Linked DNA regions of Rattus norvegicus. The main gene of each other region encodes a partner of the protein of the gene in region 3 in a complex. Links are inferred from orthologs where the notes say so. Each region holds a gene or a part of one and is shown on either strand. Other genes may lie near its edges.

Region 1 (3,945 bases), on a different chromosome or scaffold from region 3:
GATGGCGTGGTTTGGTTTGAGTGAGTGTGTGTGTGTGTGTGTGTGTGTGTGTGTGTGTGTGTGTGTGTAAACCAGCCCTTGCCCTCTGGCCACAGGCTGGGCTGGCTGAGTTCTTGGTCCCTTCCTGAGTCCAGGGAGCGAGGGTCATTCAGTTGCTTCTCCAGCAGGGTGACAGAGAGGAGCAGTGAGTCACCTTGACGTGGAAATTTATCATCCAGACCCCCCGGCAGAGTGAATGATCTCAGCCTCTTCATCTAGGAAAAGAGAACCCTTCCTTCCCGACTCCTTTCTGTCTAGTGAGCCACTTCGATTTCTCTTATTAGTTTGATCCAATTGCTGTAAGCAACAGCCCCAAACCTCTGTGGATAAGCTCTCTTGAAGTTTATTTCTTACCCATACAATATCTTAGGCGGCCTCCCTTGTTGTTGAAGAGGCCACAGCTTGCCCACCTCCCCTTTAAGGCCACAGAGACTGAGGAACACTTTCCTTGACCACTTCAGTCTGATACACACGGTTTCTGCTTATATCCCATTGGCCAGAGCTTGCTCACGTGCCTCAGCCAGATGTTAGGGAGCCCGGGAAAGTGATCTAGCTTTGATCCTGGGAACCCAGGAAGACACAACCAAGGGTAGGTGCCAGAAATACGATCATGAAGCCATTTTCTCATTCTCAATTAGGGATTCCTTTCTCTGCTTTTGATTTTTTTCGTTTTGTTTGTTTGTTCGTTTGTTTGTTTGTTTGTTTTCGGACCTCGTTAGCACCGCGCTCTAATTAGACGCCTGTTGTCTTCCACCCTCCATGTTCTGTAAGAGAAGCAATGAGTTCTGTCCCTCGCCGCTCTGTCCCTGGTGCTGGAAACAGCATCCAGTGTCACCTGGGTAAACATTAGTTGGTGAAAGGAAGGAGGGAGGGAAGGGAGGGGGTAGCAGCTGAAGCAGGAGAAGGAAAGAATGGTAGTTTGGTGGAATCCTAATTCTTCCACTAATTCCATAGTTTTGAGTAAACTATGTAACTAAGAGCCTCAAATTTTCTCATTTTGTAAAGCTGTTAAAATCATTCTCCCCAGGCACATATCAATACATCCTACATCGGTGCCATGTGTTCGGTTCCTAGCTTAGTCTCTAAGGTGTCGCAGGTGGCTGCACACTTACTATAGAATTTGTGTATAAAGAGCTTCTGCCTCTCCACAGCACTGTGGTACGTTTCTACCCAGTTCCTGTGCCTGCACCCTTGGCCTGGTGCCTTTAAGGGCCTGGGCCTTATTCTCTTTTCCGGAGATCGCAGGAGGAGCTGGAGCATTGCATCCCTTTGGAGCTGATTGTCTTACCTCCTCTCCCTCAGGTTGAAGTTAAACAGCAAGAGGAACCAGCTGGTGCGAGAACTGGAGGAAGCCACGCGGCAGGTGGCCGCCCTGCACTCTCAGTTGAAAAGGTGAGTGGTGGGCGGTGACCATCCCCGTGGGGAAGGCCCAGTTCCACACTGCCATTCGTACAAGTTCCATACAAGCCATTCCTCCGTGGCTTGAGGAAAGACATTTAGAAGCATAGAAGGTTGTCATTCTAGCTGATACAGGCTTGGCTAGGGTGGCCGGCCACAGGGTGCTTCATCCCGTGGGACTCTACAAACAGAGACAGCCCCTGGGAGATGCCCGTTGGGTCTGCCTTCTAGCCCACGTTTACAGCATGTAGTAGGTTTTTCCGTAAGCTCAGGCCTTGATGGTTGAAGTATATGACTGGAACTTCATAGTAGCATTAAAAGCACCCCGCCTCTCATCCCCAACAAAAGTGGTTTCTTCCTGTTTATACCAATAAATAACCTTTCGATGGTCATTTATGATGTTAGATCTCCTTTTAAGTTAAATATTTTATCATTTTTTTTAAAAAGTGAATTACATTCTAGTATGGTATTGGTATCCCATATCTTTAATCCCAGCACTTGGGAGGTAGAGGCAGGCTGCTCTCTGAGGCCAGCCTGGTCCACATAGCAAGTTCCAGGACAGCCAGAACTACACAGAGAGAGGCCCTATAACAAAAAAACAAAACAAAAAATTTTGGGAAAAAAAAAGTGACTAGAGCAGAGTGTGAAGGGGTGCACTTGTAATCCCAGCATTTAGCAGGTGGGAGGAGAATCGGGGAGACTGGAAGTTCAAGGCCAGCCTCAGGTCTGTATGTGCCCCCTACCCCCACCTCCAAAAAAAAGGAAAGAAAAAGAAAAAAATGGGAGTCGATTTCAAGAAAGGTACTAAGTGTGGCAGATGTCTTTAATCCCAGGGGCACTCAGGAGGCAGAGGCAGGCCTTATCTCTGTGAGTTCAAGACCATCCTGGTCTACATATCAAGTCTTAGGCCTGCCAGAGCGGCACAGTCAGATCCTATCTCAGTCAACCGATCCAAGGAAACAAGCAAAAGAAATGTTTTAATAAAGATGCAGTGTGGCCAATAAGAAACAAAGATAGAAGAGGAGAAAAGTGGGATCCGGGTGTGGGGTTTCCAGGTGTATGATCTCAGGACTCAGAGCATCAGGAGTTTAAGGCTAGCCTGAGCTACTAAGCAAGAGGCTCACGGGTACCTGCTCTGCTACTCTGGGCCCCCAGCTCTCTCTAGATCTCTATTTTCTCCTCAGTGAAACTGGGTGCATGGTCCAGCTTAGGCTGTCAAGTGGGCTGGGAAGATGATGTTCATGACTCCCAAGCCCGGTGGAGTCCCCAGTGTTCTCCTTACTCCATGTTACCTTTTCCCTTTCCCTGTCCCCAGCCTCTCCAGCAGTATGCAATCACTGTCTTCAGGCAGTAGCCCTGGGTCACTTACGTCCAGCCGGGGCTCCCTGGCTGCCTCTAGCCTGGACTCCTCCACCTCAGCCAGCTTCACTGACCTCTATTACGACCCGTTCGAGCAGCTGGACTCAGAGCTCCCGAGCAAAGTAGAACTGCTGTTCCTGGAGGGTGCCACAGGCTTCCGGCCCTCAGGCTGCATCACCACCATCCACGAGGATGAGGTGGCCAAGACTCAGAAGGCAGAGGGAGGCAGCCGCCTGCAGGCCCTGCGCTCCCTATCCGGCACTCCAAGATCCATGACCTCCCTGTCTCCACGCTCATCTCTCTCCTCCCCGTCCCCTCCCTGTTCCCCTCTCATCGCTGACCCCCTCCTGGCTGGAGATGCCTTTCTGACCCCTCTGGAGTTTGAAGACACAGAGCTGAGCCCCACTCTTTGTGAGCTGAGCCTCGGCACCGATGGCGCCCGGGAAAGATTCCGGCTGGAGGAACCAGGACCCGAGGGCAAACCACTGGGCCAGGGTAAGGAGCACAGTGCCCTTATGGGGAACCAGAAAGCGGGGGATTCCTGCCGTAGTTCCTGACTGTGGATGGCTGGGTCTTTATGGGGTTGGTAGATCCTGACAAAGGTAGAATGTGCTAGGTCCCTGGGCTAGGGTTTTGTTTTGTGGTGGATTTCACTCAACAGATATTTAGCGCCTACTAAAATGAATCCAGATCCTGGCTGGGCTAATTGAGTATGAATGGATTAATTCATCTAAGCTCTCCGTTGATATGGCAAATGTAGCCGCTGGAGGGGTCAGTGTTGACAACAGACAAGGGCCGCCCCCTCCCCCGCTGCCGCAAAGCTTGGGTTCAGCGGGAGGGAGCCACGGGGGCGTTAGAAATGTACCAGGCAAAGGCATGGGAAGGGGATAACAGCGATGTGTGGTGGAGCCTTTCGGTGGAGTTGAGGCAGCCAGGTCAGAATGGATTGAGGCTTAAATGATGAGGGGGAGGGGGGGAGGGGGAAGGGCGGTGAGAGTAAGAGGGTGTAGCAGCAATTCAACTATGACCCCGGCATTTAGGGGGAAGAGGCGTAAAGACCAGGAGTGCAAAGTCATTCTCCACTATATAGCCGGTTTGGTCTGGAAACTTGGAGATCTTTTCTCAAAATACGGGGGAAAAAAAAAAAAA
Region 2 (4,537 bases), on a different chromosome or scaffold from region 3:
ACTGTGAAAAGGTTTTCACCTAAATACCTCAGTCCATAAAAATAAGTTTCCTGAATCTAAACAGTTATATTTTTCCAAACAAAATATAAGCAAGAAGCTAATTGATCAGGACCAACTTTAGCTAAAATCAAGGCTGGATGGAGATGGACCTCTGTGGATCTTTCTGCTTCTTTGCCAAGATCCAGAATAAGGGAAACCTCATCTTACAACATTGCTCACAGCTCTGCTCTGCTAAAGATTCTGCTTCCCCAAGGGAAAGACTTGCCAAATTCGCCCTAGTTTTATCATTTATCACAGAATAGGCAAAAAAAAAATCCCATTTCTTATCTAAGATTCCCTATGTGCACAACTTTTGTGCCTTCACTCTTTCATTGTCTCTCTGGATGTCAATTGCTAAGTGGCTAGTACCAGATATTTTCTTTTAATCATTAATTACATTAATACTAATAAACATTTATCGTTTACGAGTGTTAGAGTTGGGCAAAGTCTATCTCAAGATGTAGACATCAGAGTAAAATGCAGAAATAAAATGGTCAGTGGAAACCACAAGGAAAAAAATCACTGTGGAAGTGTGTTAACTTGGGCTGGTGAGGCTCATCTCAGGAAAAGCTTCTCACCAAGGCTAATTTCCCATCTCTGACCCCCAGAACATTAGAGGAGAACTGATTGGCAAGGGCTGTTTTCTCATTTCCATATCACACAATGGGCATATCCACCCTCCATCCCATCCATCCATTCATCCATCCATAAACCATCAACCCATAAACAAATAAGTATAAACATTAACTTTTGCCGTTGCTTTCCTTTGCAAATACCAGTATTTTTGCCACCAAATAACGGTCGATGGTCAATTGTGGTAGATTTCTTGGCCTCTAACCTTGAACTCTGCATTTGTTATTTGCTATGATCCACTCTGTTAACATAAAATGCATGAGCACAACTTTCTGAATGTGAGTTCAAAGTATGTCACAACTGGAGGTTACTCTAATATCTGACCCATCTTCTTCGGTGTCACACAATACCGCACGTTTGCGTTAGATGATCTAAAATGATAGAGGATGAACACTCCAGAAATTCCACTGAAGATGTTTTCCTCCGTGACAGCTTAGCTTTGGGGAAGTTTATCAACCTTTCTTCTAGGTCGTTTACTTCGAAAGTTTTTGTTTTGTTTTGTTTTGTTTTGTTTTATGCTGGAAAAAAAATCCACAACTGCTCTGTGGTATTTCTTCATAATGGATCGCAGCATGAATAGCAATTCAGAATACAGTGATACTCAGAATTTCAACACTGGCGCAAGACAGAGTAACAATAGACAACAAACTGTCATACCAATAACGCTGGTATGAGTGAGACACATCTGTCCTCTCCACCTGTGCCACCCAGGAAACTGCATTACCACCAGAGGAACACAAAGACATGCTACATTTGTAAAATAAAGTCTCTTCTAATGAAACTTTTATCTCAGGCTTTCCTCCCTCAGGGCCACAATTTTTATTTCAAGCCAAGACATTCATTGTTCAGCAAGATTCCAATCTCTCTAAATTCACTTCCCAGCCCTGAAAGAAGCTCATCAAAGCCAAGTTATACACAGGGAGCCTGAGCTGTGACCAACTTGCCTCTCCATCCACCTCCGTGCTACAAACATGCCCCCGGGTCTGAAGCTAGAGGAGAGCCCAACCACAGAGAAATCCTAGTCAAGAAGAAAATCCCAGTCAATGAAGAGCACTTCGGGGGAACGCTTGATTGCTGCAGTCTGCCTCCCCACCAACACTACAAACTAGCTCTCCCAGCTCCTAGCATTAATCTCTGCCCCTCCTCCTGCCTGCTGGCCAGAGGGATCTCTAGGGTTAGTCAGTCTGCACGTGACTCCCGGTGCCCACATGACAAGACCATGGGCGGGGGAGAAAGGAGTGAAGCAGGGAAAAAGTTACTGAACACTGGTCAGAGCGTCCAAACCAATTTATTCATTTCCTTCCTTGTCAGCCAGTGGCTCAGGGGTCCCTAGGGAACCGCTACTGACCAAGGTGTCTCCAGACTACTTTTGGATATACTGCAAGCATTCTCCACTTGCCCCAATATTCAGAGCTTTTCCCAACCTCCCTAGTGACACCTCTGCACCTCAAGTTGCTCCATCTTCCTTTCTTCCTCACCCCTGGCTTTTTTTCCTTCCCCGAAAGCTCTATGTCCACTGTGGGCATGCCACTGACGCACATTCTATTTGGCCCTGGAGCTCAGAGGAGGTCGGACAAGGCCAAGCATCTTCCAAAGGGGAGGGTCCAACTAGGCAAACTAAGTTGCCTGCTACACTGCCACCTGGCTCAGCCAGCCTACCAGTCCCCCTGCCCCCGTCCCACTATTGCTCCGAACACAGTTAGGATGCTCTCTGGACCCCACCCCGCGGTGGCGCAGCATTCACCCATCCAACCCCCGCGCCCACCCTATTGATGCCCTCCCCACGCCGGGGTCCCACCACCCGGCAGAGCACCGAGCAAGCTGCGCTCACCTTGCTTGACACACTTGAGCCGGAGGGGGTCCTTGCAGTGTTTGATCACGGCCAGAACATCCCTGATGGTGAGCCCCGCCACGGGGGTCTCGTTCACCTCCAGCAGCAGCTCCTCGGACACCAACTTGCTGCCGCTTTCATAGGCCACCTTGCCCGGCTTCACCTCCCCCAGGTAGGGGAACTGTCCGTTTTCGGCGCCCCCCTTCAGTTCAAAGCCCAGCTGGCCCTCCGGGTTTCTGCCAATGACACTCTCGTGGACTTTGCTAGTCCAGTGGCTTTTCTTTTTCAAGCTTTTGGACATGGCAGTAGGGTGAGTCTCCTCAGTTCCTGAGGGTCCGTTGGGAAGGAGGGTCTGGGAGTCAAAATCGGGATGGAGGAGCAAGGGGGCCAAGGGAAGAGGGTGGCAGACTTTGCCTTTCTCTCCCTCTGCTCCGCGCTTTCCCTCTTCTTTGGATGGAGTGTGGCGGAGGAAGGGGGAGGATGAGAGGGACGGCTGGGCAGAGGTAGGAGAGCTTGGGTGAGGTTGTGCTGTCCCTTGAATGACACTCAAGGCTTTGGCCCCGCAGCGGAGGAAGCTGTGGTGGCGTTGGCGGCGTTAGCGGCGGTGGCGGCGGCCGAGCCAGCGCGAGCAGTGGCCGAGCTGGTGAGCGGGTGGCGTGGGGGTGGGGAGGAGGGTAGGGATGCCGGGGGCCACTCCTGCGTGCTGCGAGTGGGGAGCGCGCGCGCGCTCGCCGGCCTCTGTGTTGTTAGCCGATATCCATGGCAGCTGCAGTGGCAGCGGTAGGGAACGCGTGTGTGTGCGCGTGTGCGCGTGTGAGCCTGTGTACTAGTTGTACTGTACTGGCAGGATGTAAGCGGGCGGCAGAGGGGGGTTCGGGTGGGGGGGGGGATAGGGGATGCGAGCGGAGGGAGGAGGCGCGCGCACCGGGTGGAGCGCCAGGGAGGGCTTCGCCGCGGTTTCCCTCCCTCCGCGGCTTGACCCGGTAGTGAAGGCGCGGGGAGAGGCAGGCCCCGGGCCGCCCCGCAGCCTTCGGGAGGAGGCGGGAGCCGGGAAGGAGGGGAGCGGAGGCCCGGCGTGGGCAGGCCGGCGAGAAGAGCCTGGATCCTTGGGTGGACCTGTCTATAGCTTCCCTGCGAGCCGGGCTGCTCGCCTGCAGGACGCCCGGACTTGCTCACACCCCAGCAGGGACAAAGCAGAAATCCGGGGACCCGAGGGCAAGCCCGGTGCCGGGTGGCCCATCTGCAGCGCCTCCAGTCTTCTGGGGCTCCATCCCAACGCGAGGAAGCTGGAGTTCGGAGTCCTAGAGTGGAACTGCAGAGGGCCTGGCAGCCCAGCCGGAGCCGGTGGAGAGAGACTTCACTGTTGGCTCGCTCCACTTTTACAGTCTTTACGTTCCTCGCAAAGTTCTCAGAAGTGGCCCTCTGATAGAGGAAAGTTAGAGGAACGAGTCTGGTCGTCCTGGCTGCAAGAAGAAGGTGAAATAACATCTGCAGAGCAGGGCCATGTGTCCCCTGGGAAGAAACTGAAGAGGATTGAGTGGAGACTGGGTAGAGGGCACCTGCCCGAGTTGAAAACTGGAAAGGGGCGGTGGGGGAGGTGTTAAGGAGATAACTGGTGTAAGAGACTGGACATAGACATGGAGAGTTTAATCTGGACAGGAGTCAAGCCTTAGTTTAATCAGACAAACAACCTCTGCTACAGGAAGGGAAAGAAGGCTGGTGATGGAGCATGAACTCAGCTCGCTGTACCCCCATCTAGCTCCTTCCCCTTCTTAGAGCCAGGTGGAAAACTAAGCAAGGCACAGGAAGCTGAGGGCCGCTGATTTCTCCAGGGAAACCCTGAGTGGTGCTTTTTGAGTTTCCATAGCTTAAATTTCATTTGCTTAAATTTGAAATAATACGTTTCAGACAAAAAAAAAATCACTCACCCACTCGTCTTTGTAAAATCAGAGCACGGGAATTATCAGCGGTTAAGATCCTTATGTCTGGAATAGAGTGTGGGAGGGAAGCAGTGCAGTTCAAAAGGCTTAGCTG
Region 3 (4,723 bases):
TAACATCTAGGAGAGCCCTCTTGCCAATTTGCTGGTTGAGTGTATGCATTCTGCATTCATTTCTTCTCTGCTAAAAGCCCTCTGTCTCCTGCACTAGGTCACTAGGTTCAAAAGCCTCTCCGTTACTTTTCCTCTCCTGCCAGGGACCCTGCCCTGCCCTTCACTTTGCCTCTCTGAACAGTTCCACACCGAATGTAGCAGGTGTGGGATCCCACCCTCTCTTTCCCTGAAACTGACTCTTGAGTCAGTTCCCTCGTTCCTCCCCTCTCCTCTGTCTCAAGGGAACAGGTACAGGTAGGAAAGAAGAAAAGGAAGCAAACGAAGCCTGGAGAGAGGAAAGGAGCGCGGTGAGCCCAAGGCTGGCTGGGCCGAGCGACACGAGGACAAGGAGGGGCGTCGCTCACTCTCACTCTCTCTTTCCCTGTGGCGTTTTCCTGGTGTCCTCTCGGACGAGGCCTTCCTCGGTTTGACTGATGACATCTAGAATCTCCCCGATACTGTCGCCCAGCTCTGCTGTCTTCCCGCCTTCCCTGGGCCGGGTGTTCCCAACCGCAGGCAGGGTCCTCTCATTCCGCCAGGAGGCGCCTGGGGCGTCTGTGTCGCTTCCATCAGAGGAGCCACTATGGGCGCTGAGATCCTCGGCTTCGTCTGAGTCCGAATCTGGGGCGGTGTGGCGGCGGATGCGGGACACGGCTTCCCGCAAGGCTCCGGCGTAGGGCCCTGGAGTCCGCGCCCAGCCCCCGCCCGCGCGCCGCGGGACCCCAGCTGCTTCTGGGCCCTTCACGCTGCCCGCGCATCCCGGAGCCGCTGGGCCTAAGGTCGAGTGCTCTGGGCTACCTGGATGCGTGGGGGCATCTCGCGGGTTCACTTCGCCGACAGGGAACCCCAAACCGCTGGAGGAGCGCTCCTCCAATGAAGAATCCCCCTGCTGTCTGCCCTCAGCCTCGAACTCGCGACCCTCACTCGGTGGGTTTAAGACTCGACTGCTCAACAGTCGCTTTTGGCAAACTGAAGGGTTGGCAGCGGCCCCTTTGCCCTCCTCCTCAAGGCAGGGTTTGGGTTGCCTGAGGCTGTCGCTCACGATGCATGACTCCCCAGAGGGCGCGAGCTGCCTCTGCTGGGTTCGAGGGGTTGGAACGTACTGGGACTTTATCACCACGCATGTGGCATCAATGACAAAGATGCCTTCTCTACCAGCGGGACCTCGGGAACTGCGGGGCAGGGTGTGGGCACGGCGGGTCACCTTCCAGACTTCCAGGGTCTCATGCTCTGTCCCCTCTCTTTGACCCAGGGACTCTTTCCACCCGGTGCCTCCAGGAGCCCAGGGTCTGGGGAGGGTCTGGCTATGCCTAACTGGAGGCTTTTTAGGGGAGGAAAGCCAACACGTGGGAAGCCACATCTCCTCACTTCCTTCTTTCCCTTTCCTTGATCCCCTGAGGTGCTGCCTAGACCTGGGAACAGGACGTGGTGGGCTACTGATCGTGGACCCAGAGAGAGCGACCTCCGTGACTGGACCAGTAGTTTTGGCTTGGGAATGACCATCACCACCACTGTTTAGGCCAGCAGCAGCTAGGCCTGAACTTTTCTCTACAGCCCCTTTGCAAGACTCTGGCCTAGCTCTGGCTGCTGCACAGCCTGGAGCTCCTCCTAAGAGTCCCCGTCCCTGTCTGAGACCCCAAGCTCCTAGAACATCCCGGTAGATTCGAGGATCCAGCCTCTTCTTCGTGCGCCCTCCCTCTGTCCTGGTGGTAGCTGGCACTGGGGCTGATGAGGTGGGCGCCCGGGAGAGCTCCGGGCCTCGCTTAGTCCCCAGGGTCCTGTGGGGACCTTCATAAGAAGGTGGAGCCACGTAGGGTGGCGGCCGGTCCCAGCGGCGTCTTGGGGCTGTGCCTGCAGCGCCTCTCAGCAGCAGGTGAGCCTCGTAGCTAGGAGGCCCTGGCCTTCTGCCTCCCCATGGCCCCGCCCATGCAACCCCTGGGTCACCCTGCGGGAGCGCGGATGGTCGGGGCGCTCGCCCCACCTGCCCGAAGCGCTCTGGTCTGGAGAAAACTGGAAACCCTGTAGGTTGGGCCGCCCGAAGGGCGTTCCGGAGCTCTGGGCGGGGCTGACCTAGGGGACTCCGTCGGGCCCCGCCAGCCTTGCGCCTTTTTCTCTCGGTCTCCTTGGCCTCCCGCTCCTGCGACGCCGCCTTTCTTTTCTCCTGTTCTCGGGCTCGGACCTCGGCGGGGGGCCCTGCCCGCCAGTTGGTCGCCTCCTGCAGCACCCTGGAGGCCCAGGGTCGGCGGGGTGGCGGCTCAGGGGATCCGGGGCGCAGCCTACACCTGGGACAATGAGCAGGAACCCAGGTGAGCAGTTTGCGGGGACAAGGAGCCGAGGTCCGGGGAGCTGGGAGCACTGGAGACCACTTGGGGCAGCCATGTGGGAGGGTTCGTGTGAGTGTCTGAGCGAGTGCACGTGCGTATGTGTTAGGGCTGAAGTCGAAATGAGACTCCTCACCATCTCTCCGTGCACACTTTAACAGCGACTGCCCCATCTCACCGCCTGCCACTAGCACCACTCCTGTCCCCCCAAACAGCGCTCAATGAGTCAGGCCCCAGTCCTCGACGAGTGGGGGAGGGAGACGCGGGAAAGAGAAGGGGCCAGCAGCAATCGCTGGTGCCAGCGGGGGGGAGGTCTGGACCCCACTTCCCGCCCCACCACTTGCTGCCCCTCACCCCTCCTTCACTCACGTGCGGTTCTGGGGCCCACGGGCCCAGTAGCTGGCCTGGATGTCCATGGACTGTCGAGAAGCAGCGCGACGGCTATAATGACAGGAAATAGTCTTCACTTCAATCACCAACAGCTTGGACTTCTGCACCCAGAGGCAGCTGCCGGACTCCTCATCCTGGAGCTCCCGGGGGCTGTCGGGCCCCTCGGAGAATAACGGGCCATCCAGCATCCTGCCCCACCCCACCCCGGCCCCCCACCCTCCCACCCGCCCCGTGAGCCCCCTCCCAACCCAGGGAGCCGGCGCCCACTGCAGAGCGGCAGGCCCAGGGACTGGCAACTATATATACCCGGGCACACGTGTGTGCCTGTCTGTGTGTGTGTGAGTGTGTGTGCGAGCGCGCGAGCGCGCGCGCATGTGACACGCCGCCGTGGACGGCTCCGCGCTGCTTCCTCCCCCCATGTGCACGGCCGCCCCCTGGGGCCTGGGATTGGACGCCCCTTCCCACTCACTGCTCAGGTCCCCCAAGCCTAATGGGACCCGCGAGTGGGTGGGGAGAGACTTCGGATTCTTGCCAAGCTTTCGATGCCCTCTCCCCCAGCCCCCATTTCTTCATCCTTCCCGAAGTTTTAACCCTTTGCTTTCCTGTTTGTCAGGTTGCCTAACCACCAGTGCTCTATCTCTGACTGCCTGCCTGCCTGCTCGCCTGGACTCCTTTCTCTTGACAGGGAGTGGTGAGAACAGAACTCAAGGTCTATGCCTGCCACTCGCTGCTGCTTTCCATGGGGTTGGGGTGCAAGAGAGACCGGCCCACAGCTGGGGGGAGCGGGCTATTTTTAGTTTCGGTGGCATTCGGGTGCAGCTGAGATGAGTAACCAGTTCCTAAGCAGTGCAGAGAAGAGGCACCGCTTTCGGGAAGCTTTTGTGCGACTTTGGGGGACAGCTGCTCCCCCAAGATCTCAGAAAGGTGCACCTGTACTCCTCAGCTTTCTCTGCTGAGGCAGAACTCAGTCTATCCTGGTATCAAGCAGCAGGGCAACTCCCACTCTAGATATGGGTGTCCTTGGACACCCACAGAGCCTTCCATGAGCAGCAGGCTAGCTCCCCTAACCCAGAAGCCAGGATTCTAGGGTTACACAGTTCTGTGCCCACACAGCTCTACCAAGCCTTATGTGGAGTGCAGATAGAGTGCTTATATACACTTGTACCCTAACAGAGGCGGATGGACTAGTGTGCTCTTGTGACACAGCCAAATCCCCTAGCAACAGAAAAGATAAAAGTGGCCTTTCTCTCCTAAATTGGGGCTTCCACTCACGACTGTCGCCATGCCTAGTTCATTTGACTGCCCTGATATGCAGCTCACCTTTTGGGCTCACCCTATTCTTGGGGTGGGGTGCTGCTTGCACCCTCAGCATCCCTCCCCCTAAGCCTGTACCAGGTGTCCCCTGATTCACCATGGTAATGTTAGTGGCAGCACAGCCCACGCCAACCCTTCCATGCAGAGACTTAGCAACCATGCCTGGCAACCGTAGCAGCAGCTCAGTGGAGGGGAGGGGTGCAGGGAGCGGGCTGAGAGGGTGGCAATGGCTCCTGAGGAAGAAGGGACCACTTGCATTTGCTGCTCCTGACTTTAAGATCAGAAGCCTGTGAGCTTCCACATTGTATCCCTGGTCTCCTTCAGCTGCTTCCTTGGGCTGAGACTTGTTGGGGTTCTTGGGGGGTAAATGGGAGAGACAAAAGATCACAGTTGGTTTTCCATAAAAATGCATGGAACATTTGGATACAGAGCCTTCTTTCTAAGGGGACAGGGACCAAAAGAGTTGTTATAGTGCACACTCATTGAGAAACAGCAAGGTAGAACCTGACCTCCCCTGGCCCCCTCCCCTGACCCCTTCCCCTGCCCTCAGACCCATGATTCCATGCACCTACCGGCTGCCCTGAAGATGGCTTGCAGGCACTGCTTTTCACCAGGTTCCAATAGAGTCCCACAGCTTTTAAAGCCTTGCCTCCTCCCTG

Evidence for each region.
Region 1: the proteins of Ddn (region 3) and Wwc1 are in contact, whole or in part, in a crystal structure (PDB 6J69), measured with the Mus musculus proteins. The link is inferred for Rattus norvegicus from reciprocal best matches to the Homo sapiens genes DDN and WWC1. Residues at the interface, in NP_001013763.1 of Mus musculus: Tyr227, Val228, Ala229, Pro230, Pro231, Ser232, Tyr233, His237, Arg238, Thr239; in NP_740749.1 of Mus musculus: Glu13, Glu14, Ala15, Arg16, Asp17, Tyr23, Ile25, Asp26, His27, Arg30, Thr31, Thr32, Ser33, Trp34.
Region 2: the proteins of Ddn (region 3) and Magi2 are in contact, whole or in part, in a crystal structure (PDB 6KKG), measured with the Mus musculus proteins. The link is inferred for Rattus norvegicus from reciprocal best matches to the Homo sapiens genes DDN and MAGI2. Residues at the interface, in NP_001013763.1 of Mus musculus: Asp222, Arg223, Pro224, Pro225, Pro226, Tyr227, Val228, Ala229, Pro230, Pro231, Ser232, Tyr233, His237, Arg238, Thr239, Leu240, Gly241; in NP_001164217.1 of Mus musculus: Glu308, Met309, Ala310, Tyr311, Thr312, Glu313, Gly315, Tyr318, Ile320, Asp321, His322, Lys325, Thr326, Thr327, Ser328, Trp329, Asp358, Tyr361, Tyr364, Val366, Asp367, His368, Arg371, Arg372, Thr373, Gln374, Phe375.

The regions. Positions count from the first base shown.
Region 1 is NC_086028.1:20,839,762-20,843,706, reverse strand, and holds part of Wwc1 (protein KIBRA), read left to right. Parts: intron 1-1,341; coding exon 1,342-1,431; intron 1,432-2,752; coding exon 2,753-3,291; intron 3,292-3,945. UniProt on the Homo sapiens protein: Regulator of the Hippo signaling pathway, also known as the Salvador-Warts-Hippo (SWH) pathway.
Region 2 is NC_086022.1:16,759,197-16,763,733, forward strand, and holds the start of Magi2 (membrane-associated guanylate kinase, WW and PDZ domain-containing protein 2), read right to left. Parts: upstream 2,940-4,537; 5' UTR 2,805-2,939; coding exon 2,504-2,804; intron 1-2,503. Other genes in the region: uncharacterized protein 4921504A21Rikl, read left to right, coding at 3,400-3,979. UniProt on the Homo sapiens protein: Seems to act as a scaffold molecule at synaptic junctions by assembling neurotransmitter receptors and cell adhesion proteins. Plays a role in nerve growth factor (NGF)-induced recruitment of RAPGEF2 to late endosomes and neurite outgrowth.
Region 3 is NC_086025.1:131,833,329-131,838,051, forward strand, and holds the start of Ddn (dendrin), read right to left. Parts: upstream 2,925-4,723; 5' UTR 2,777-2,924; coding exon 2,730-2,776; intron 2,322-2,729; coding exon 407-2,321; 3' UTR 1-406. UniProt on the Homo sapiens protein: Promotes apoptosis of kidney glomerular podocytes. Podocytes are highly specialized cells essential to the ultrafiltration of blood, resulting in the extraction of urine and the retention of protein.